Canis lupus familiaris: one gene and its partner. The protein of the gene in region 2 purifies or fractionates together with the protein of the main gene of each other region. This does not show direct contact. Links are inferred from orthologs where the notes say so. Each region holds a gene or a part of one and is shown on either strand. Other genes may lie near its edges.

What was found.
Region 1: the proteins of HNF1A (region 2) and PCBD2 purify together in Homo sapiens (affinity purification with mass spectrometry; 4 studies listed by BioGRID and IntAct, with this or other methods). This does not show direct contact. The link is inferred for Canis lupus familiaris from reciprocal best matches to the Homo sapiens genes HNF1A and PCBD2.

Annotation. Positions count from the first base shown.
Region 1 is NC_049232.1:22,974,413-22,978,961, reverse strand, and holds the start of PCBD2 (pterin-4-alpha-carbinolamine dehydratase 2), read right to left. Parts: upstream 2,951-4,549; 5' UTR 2,927-2,950; coding exon 2,852-2,926; intron 1-2,851.
Region 2 is NC_049247.1:17,167,063-17,171,249, reverse strand, and holds the end of HNF1A (hepatocyte nuclear factor 1-alpha), read right to left. Parts: intron 4,112-4,187; coding exon 3,967-4,111; intron 2,048-3,966; coding exon 1,920-2,047; 3' UTR 636-1,919; downstream 1-635. UniProt on the Homo sapiens protein: Transcriptional activator that regulates the tissue specific expression of multiple genes, especially in pancreatic islet cells and in liver. Binds to the inverted palindrome 5'-GTTAATNATTAAC-3'.

The DNA of each region.
Region 1 (4,549 bases), on a different chromosome or scaffold from region 2:
CAAAAAGCCCTTGCCTTAGTAAAGTGAGGTTTTTTCCAGGACACCAGGAAGACAAATCCCTCCAGTCTGGCCAGAGCACTGTCCACCCTGTTCCTGCACTCACCCTGGTGATGAAATTCACAAACCCAGAGTTCTGTTGGTTAACAGGCCCACATTTCCAAGCTATTTGTTTTTTAAGGAAAGAAATCTAAACATCACGGCTAGAGAAAGAAGAGAAGGATACTGTAGGAGAAGTCAAAAGAGCTTAGCTCTCCAGCATAAATGCCAAACAATACTTCCAACCATATCTATTTTCGGAGCTATTGAAGGCTCAGGTGAGAGAGGGACTGTCACCCAGAAACACAAAACGTATTATAAGGTGTCCTCACGAAATGCCAACTGGAGGCTGAGCTGGATCCTCCACTGTGAAAGTACAACTCGTTCCCATTTTAGAAATCCTGAAACCTTTTATCACTGACATTAATGTAATTAAGAGGGCAGAATCAGTGAAATTAAGACAACTTATTTTGGGCACCTGGGTGGCTCAGTGGTTGAGCCTGCCTTTGGCTCAGGGTGTGATCCCGGGGCCCCGGGATCGAGTCCCACAGCGGGCTCCCCATAGGGAGACTGCTTCTCCCTCTGCCTATATCTCTGCCTCTCTCTCTGTCTCTCATGAATAAATAAATAAAATCTTTAAAAAAAAAAAAAAGACAATTTATTCTAATAAAAGGAAAAAAAGGATGCTCATGAGCCAATTTTCTTGTTTCTGTTCCTTGCCAGGTAGCCACCCTTCCCACAACATAAGAAAAAAAAAAAAAAAAAGAAAAGAAAAAAAAGTCTCTAATAGAAACATTTGAAGACTTCTTATCAAAACCAATTACTATTGGGGCACCTGGGTGGCTCAGTGGGCTAAGCATCTGCCCTCAGCTTAGGTCATGATCCCAGAGGCCTGGGATCAAACCCCGCATCAGGCTCTCTGCTTCTCCCTTTCCCTCTGCCCCTCACCCCACGCATGGTCTCTCTTTCTCTCTAACAAATTTTTTTAAAAAGCCAAACAATTACTGTTAATATTAAGATCCAAAACACTGGGACACCTGAGTGGCTCAGTGGTTGAGTGTCTGCCTTCAGCCCAGGGCATGATCCTGGTCCTGGGATCAGGTCCCACATCAGGCTCCCTACGAGGAGCCTGCTTTCTCCCTCTGCCTGTGTCTCTGCCTCTCTCTCTCTCTGTGTCTCTCATGAATAAATAAATAAAATCTTAAAAAAAAAAAAATCCAAAACACCTATTCATTAGTTTTATAGTGACCCACTATAGGAAATAATCTAAAATTCTTATTAGTCACTTAAATATGTTAATTCAACTCCAAAAATTATGTAAAAGAATTTAAATTATCTGTGTCCACGCTGAGTAGCTGCCAAGAAAACCATTAACCATGCTGTGGGTAATGCAGCAGTCACCTGAAGTGAGCAAAACATGCCCACTGAGCTGATCTCCACATTCTCCACCCTGCACATCCCCAATGAGGGCAATGGTATGTGCTCTGTGCTCGGTACTTGCCACAGGTGTCTGCCCAAGAACAGGGACTGAGTCCAGGACTGTGAAATGGAGCCACTTCACCTACCTAGCACAAATGGTCCCCTTGCAGATACACCTTCTGCAGAACCCTTTATGATGGGCTTAATTTTTTTTCTGCAGGAGATGGGGACAGGGATAGGGAAGAGCATAGAGTCTGGAGAGAATGAACTTGATTCAAGGCCTAGCTTTGTCACTTTCAGGTGCGGTGACACTGAACAAATCACTTAGCTTCTCTCAATACCAGTATCCTCATGTCTCTGTCTATGTCTATGGTGGGGGTATCACAACAACTACCTGTCAAACTTTTTTGAAAGGGTTAAAGAGATCTTGAATGTAGACACCTAGCATAGAGCCACCATGGCTTGGTGCAGCCACTCAAATCATGTCGTTTATTCATTCCTCTGAACCCCGTAATTTTACTGGATTATCAGCACCTTGGGTAGAGGTATGCTTTGGGACACGTTTAGGTGTCAGTAAGCACTCAACTCGTGCTCTCACCTTACTGGCCACGAAACAGAGTCCATCATCATCATTAAAATATATATATATTTTTTTTTTTAGATTTTATTTATTTATTCATGAGAGAGCCAGAGAGAGGCAGAGGGAGAAGCAGGCTCCCTGGGGGAACCTGACGCGGGACTCTATCCCAGGACCCCGGGATCACGACCTGGGCCAGAGGCAGACGCTGAGCCGCCCAGGTGCCCCCGTCGTCAAGCTACCTTAAATGAATCCCTGTTAAACACTTTCCAACTGCCCAGGGGGCTCTAGCAAGCGACGGAGGATGAAATGGGAAGTTTAATGCAACATTTCCCCACTAGGTGGTGCTGCGTGTCCAAACTTTCCCTCAGGTTCATTTATCTCCATACATTAATTTCCACGGCCGGTAAAGTGACGGGACGCTCTGCGGAAGAGGAGAGAACAGATCTGTCCCCTGTAAAATAGGTAAGTGTCCCTAATAATTCCTCCTAAAGCAGCACATCCACAGCAGCGCGCTGACCCCGCGCCGAGCGGCGTGGAGCCGGGCCCCGCTCTCAGCCGGCGCACCAGCGAGCGCAGCGCCCGGGCTCGCTAAAGACAGCTTTACCGCTACTATTCGTGCTCGTCTTTCTTTCTTTTTTTTAAGCCAAAATCGTCCTCGGTTTTGTTCTGGCGGGCAGCTCCGTAGACCGCGACGGGACACGCCAGCCCGGAGGTCCGGCAGGGGCCCCGCGCCCGCCCGCCCCCGCGCCCGCCCCCGCCCCGCCGCGGGGCCCCTCGCTCTCCTCCCGCCGCGCTCTCCTTCCCCCCGGCTCTCACCCCGGCCGACAAGCTCGCGCCCCGGCCCCGCAGAGTCGCCACCACGAGCCGCGACGTCCCCCGCGCCGCCGCCATGGCCGCCGGCCGAGGGCTGCCCGCCGCGCTGCCTGCCTGCCGCCCGCGGGGCCCACCGGGGGGCCGGGAGCCGCGGGGCCGTGCGAACGGCCTCCAGCCGCGCCGTCCTGCGAGCGCCCGCGCGGCCCGCCCCGGAAGGGCCCGGGCGCCTCAGGGCCGCCGACCGCGCGGGCGGCAGGGGGCGGCAGGCGGCAGGGCGGCAGGCGGGCGACCCCGCAGGCCCCGCAGGCCCCCTCCAGCCCGGGCGGGGAGCGGGGCCGGGAGCGGGGCGGGAGCGGGGCCGGGGAGCGGGGCGGGGAGCGGGGCGGGAGCGGGGCCGGGAGCGGGGCCGGGAGCGGGGCCGGGAGCGGGGCCGGCGGGCTGGCGCCGCTGGCTGCGGGGCGCTGGGGCCTGACCCACGTTCGCCGACGGTGGGCGCAAGGACTCCGCGGGCCGGGGCGCGAGGCGGTGGGCGCCGGGCGCGGGTCGGCCCGTGTCCCCGCCCGCGGAGGGCCAGAGCCACCGTGGACCGGCCCGGGGCGAGCTCCGCCGTGCCCGCCGGGGAGTCTGGGAGCCTGGCCCTCCGTGCCCCGCGAAGAGAAGCGCCCGGGGCGCGCTCCGCAGAGGAACGTACGCGGGTTATTTACGGAAGTGTGTCTCTTTCTGGAAAAGGGGAGGGGGGGGTCTTTTATGTATTCACTAATATTTTATTCTTACTCCTTTTTTTCTTGCCTTTTTTTGCGATGGGACGCCACATACCATAAAATTCACCCTTTGAAGTGTACAGTTTACGGCCTTTTAGTGTATTCACTTGGATCTTTTACTAGTTTAAGCAAATTAATAATACAGCCAAATTTTTAAAAAGATTATTTATTTATTCATGAGAAACACAGAGAGAAGCAGAGACCCAGGCAGAGGGAGAAGCAGGCTCCTGCAGGAAGCCCAATGTGGCATTCAACGCCAGGGCCCTGGGGTCATGCGCTGAGCCACCCAGGGTTCTATAATATAATCCATTTTGCCTAACATTTAGCCATATACTAGAGAATTTTTTCTATGCGTGCCCATTTAAGTTCAACTTAGCAGGTGCTAGCAGTTAATTTTTTTCACATATCGATTGGGGGATAAGCGTTTTTGCCTTAAAATATCCTAAAATTCAGACTTATGGCTCAATCCATATTCTTACCTTTGCCCACTTCACAAAAACTTAATGGAGGAATCTCTGCAGACCCTGATCGGATGTCACTGATCTCAAAGCATTCATCTAAGACATTCTAGTTTCCTTTGGTGCCTCAAGTGGGCAGAGACTGGAGACAGGATTAAAAGTTTCATTTCCAGTACTTAATTAGGTGTATACAGTTATGAAGAATACTCTGCAAACTTGCTTATTGAAGTGAGAACTGCAAAATGAACTGGTGGGTGTGAGGTAACAAGAGATTCCTGATCGGGAGACCTGGGTGGCTCAACAGTTGGGTGCCTGCCTTTGGCTCCGGTCATGATCCCAGGGTCCTGGGATCGAATCCCACATCCGGCTCCCTGCGAGGAGCCTGCTTTCTCCCTCTGCCTGCGTCTCTGCCTCTCTGTGTCTCTCGTGAATAAATAAATCTTTGGAAAAAACAAAACTCCTGATTGTTTTCTTTCCCTATA
Region 2 (4,187 bases):
GAGACCACCTTAAGAGATGGAGGAAAGGGGTCGGCCCAGAAAGAGTTTTGTACTTCTCCCTCCAGGCCACACAGATTTGATGTAACATTGTCTGAAAAAGGAGAGATTCGTCCCCCACTCCAGATTTCCAGAAGTCTTTTCCATTTGTGAATGTACCATGTACAATCATGTCTCTGAGCCAGCCAGATTATTGAAAATAAATTGTCGAGAGACCCCAAACTTAAAGTGATTGGGGTGCTGCCTCCATATCAATGCTGAACCTTGATGAGACATTTTAAGTAAACATTACATAGGTGGTGTCCTGCTGCCTGCAGCCCAGTGGGTGTTCCCGCACCCCAGCCTCAAGACTGGAAAGTATCGCAGCACTTGTGGATGGGGTTTTACACACCAGGAGTGTTCTGCAGGAAAGAGGAGCAGCTCAGAGTTAAGGGGAAATTCTGGCTTCGTGGCCTTGCCTCCGGAGTTCAGCCGAGTAACAAAGACAGAGGTGGGACCTGAGAGTCTGTGCACTGAGCCATCTCTCCTCAGGCCCCAGTCCCTCACCCTCCCCCACCCCCCCCCCACCCCCCGCCTCCCTCTGCCTGCCCAGCCCCACCTGGGCGCTGTGTGGACAAGCAAGAAGTTTCCACTACTCATTTCCACTCTTCCGTTCCTCCTTTCCTTTACTAAAAGTTAAATAAATGTACAGGTTTGCCCTTAGCTGGCTGCAAGCTGCAGGGGGCGCTGGTTCTTCCCTGGCCCCTTCCTCAGTCCCAGGATGGGAGCAGTCTGCAAGCCAGGTTATCTGCAGCAGCCCCAGGAAGTGGAGGCCACGGAGCTCCAGGTTTACACAGCTGGCTTGTCTCTCTTGGTGGCACTCGGGACCTCAGGGGCCTGGGTGTAGCTGGACCTCTCCCCATCCCTCAGCCAGCCCGGTGACAATCCTGTCCATGCAAGTGGCTTCTCTCCACTGGTTCCTTTCCCTTCTCTGGGCCCCTCGGATCTGCCACCTGCTCAGGCCTTGGTGCCTTCCAAGCTCAGCAGCTTCTTCCCCAAACCAGGGAGGGGCTGCAGGGCCCCACAGGCCAGAGGAGCTGTTGCTCAGAATCCTGACAGCACCAGGCGCAGTCACAAGGCTCCCATGGGGCAGAGATGATTTCCTAGCCCAGAGGGGGTCTTTCCCGCAGAGGCAAGATGCCAGACTGGCATTAGAAGGTGTGATACCCAGGAGAACGGACGGCCAAGAGGCTGCAGAGAGGGATGGCTCAGCACGAGAAAAGCTGGAGAGCCCTGCATGCTTTTTGCTGCTAGCTGGAGCTCTCCCAGGGGGTTGCATCCAAGCCCCAGGCCCCAGCACAGAGGAACCACTTGGGGAATGCTCATGCGATTAGGGGCAGGGTAGGTACAAACAGGCATGTGGGACTATAGCTAGAAGGGGAGCAGGGTGGAGGGACCTGATCAGGACACAGGTGACAGGATGGGGCTGTGTTGATCCTGGGCCTCTTGGAGCTCAGTGAGTCACAGCTCCACAGCCTCATGTCTTGAGAAGTGCAACTGCCAGAGTGCCCTTGGGGGTTCTGGGGCTCTCCACAGGCATGGGCTGGGGGCACCAGGGGCACCAGGGTCCCCAAATCCAAAGGCCGGCCCTTGTGTTCCAAATGACAAGATTGACCCTGAGCACCAGGAACAGTCCCTCCTGTGTCTTGCTCTGCTTCCCAGCTCTCCACAGTCCCCTCTTGGGCACTGAAGCAGCCCTCCTGAGGTCGGGGAGCCTTGGAACTCTTTCTGACGCTGACAGAGCAGGCTGGGAACCAAGGCACAGTTTTCAGGCTGCACTCCGGTGGCAGTGAAAGTGTCACAGGCTCAGATGTCCCAGTCACCCCCCAAGTAGGCCAGGCAGGCTCCAGGCAGGGCCCAGCCCCTGGGAGGCGTTGCCATGGTTACTGGGAGGATGAAGCCATCTGCGTGGAAATGAAGGTCTCGATGACGCTGTGGTTGGATGGCAACAGGTGGCTGTGGCCGTTGTTGGAGTCGGAGCTCTGGTACAACACCAGGCTGCTGGAGGACACTGCAGGGGCGAGTGAGACAGCTGGCTGCCGGCCAAGCCCTTCCTGACCCCACCTCGCCCACCCATCCCAAGGGGTTCTTGGCACCGAGGACACGAGGCCTTGCCATCCCCTGAACTGCAGCAGATAACCAGAACTCCAAAACCAAACCTCTATGCTTGGGTCTCATCAACGCCCCCAGCCAGGCTCGGGGGCCGCACAGTGAGTGGCCTCCTCAGAACATTTTAGTGGAAACATTTGAGAAGCCCTGGTGAGATGGTGTGGTTAGTTTTATGCGTCAGCGTTGCTAGGCTATAGTACAGGCATTGAACCAAACATTTAAGTGTCACAGTGGAGGTATTTTGTAGATGTGGTTAACACCTATAATCAGTTGGCTGGAAACAGTGAGAGATTTCTCTTGAAGACGTGAGGGAGTCTCATCTAATCATTTGAAGGCTTTAGGAACAAAAGCTGTGGTTCCCTAGAGAAAAAGGAATCCTACCTCTGTTGCCAGCCTGCTGGTCTGCCCTACAGCTTTCAGACTTGCCATCCCACAGGCACCTGAGCCAGTTTCTTACATATACTTGTGTTGGCCCTTTAACAGTGTGGGGGTTGGGGGCACTGACCCCCTGCACAGTCAAAAATCTGCATATTACTTTTGACTCCCCAAAAACTTAACTACTAATAGCCTACTATTAGCCAGAAGCCGTACCAGTAACATATACAGTCAGCACATATTTTGCGTGTTCTAGGTATTATACGTGGTATTCTTACAACAAAGTAAGCTAGAGAAATGTTACTAAGAACATCCTAAGGAGAGGCGCCTGGGTGGCTCAGTGGTTGAGCATCTGCCTTTGGCTCAGGTCGTGATCCCAGGGTCCTGGGATCGAGTCCCACATCAGGCTCCCCAAAGGGAGCCTGCTTTTACCTCTGCCTTTGTCTCTGCCTCTCTGTGTGTCTCTCATGAATAAATAAATAAAATCTTTAAGAAAAAAAAAGAACATCCTAAGGAAAAAAAAGTACTTTTAACAGTCCTGTGCTCTACCAAAAAAAATCAGCATACAAGTGGACCCAGGCTGTTCAAAACCCGTGTTATTCAGGGGTCAACACTGTATTCCTGTTGGCTTGTGTCTCAAACAGAACCCTGGCTGACTCCAGTGGCTAAAAGAATGGGCTCTGAGTTTGGACCTGGGTTCAAGTCCTGGCCCTGCCACCTGGTCACTGTCAGAGGCAAGGTCAAGTCCCTCACCTCCTGAGTGTGCAAATTCTCATTTGTAAAATGGGGACGATGACACATGCCCCATGGATGAAGCATGGAGGCTGGCCCATGGATCCCTCAGTAACTTGTCACTGCAGCCACTAGCACTAGAGAAAGGAAGCTGAGGCTCCGGGAGGGGAATGGGGAGCAGGGTAGTGGCCTAAAGTCACGCACTTAGCAAGTGATCGCCTGCGGCCTCAGAGCCCAGCAGCCTGACTTCCAGGGGCCTGCTCTTCATCATTGCAGATGCAGGGCACCAGGGACTTGAACCGAATGGGTCAAGTGGGATGTGGTGACCTGGAGAGCCCACACTCTTTTGTCACTGAACATGGGAACATGAGTCTCCAATTTTCCAAGAAAAGCCAGAAACCATGATTTCTTTGTGAAAGCTAACTTTTAAATGTGGGCAACATACTCAAACAGGGCTAAGCCCTGAGCCACACCAACACGCCTGTGCGCCGCTTCTGGCCCCATGGGCAGCCCCGCGTACTCCTCATCAGTACCCTCTGCCTCTTTCAATTAATCTTTTTCCTCAACAGAGTCAACGAGACATTCCTGTAAGATAGGCCCATTTTCCTGTGGTTTTGTACCCCTCTTGGCTGACTTCAGGGGAGCACAGGGTGCCCTCCCGCTTGTGGCACACACCTTCCTCCCCAGCTGAGGGAGCAGGGAAAGGCTGCTCACCGGTGGGGCTGGCGCTGAGCCGGTGGGCAGGCTGCAGGTGCTGGATGCCAACAGGATCCTGGCTGGGGATGTGGATGGTGGTGGTCTGAGACGCCGGCGTATGAAGCCCGGACTCACTGGAGGCCTCAGCATCTGAGGTGAAGACCTGGGGGGACAGAGCAGCCTCCTGAGTTCCCCATGGGAGCACTTTGCAGAGGGGCCTGATCAAGGGGGGGGCGGCC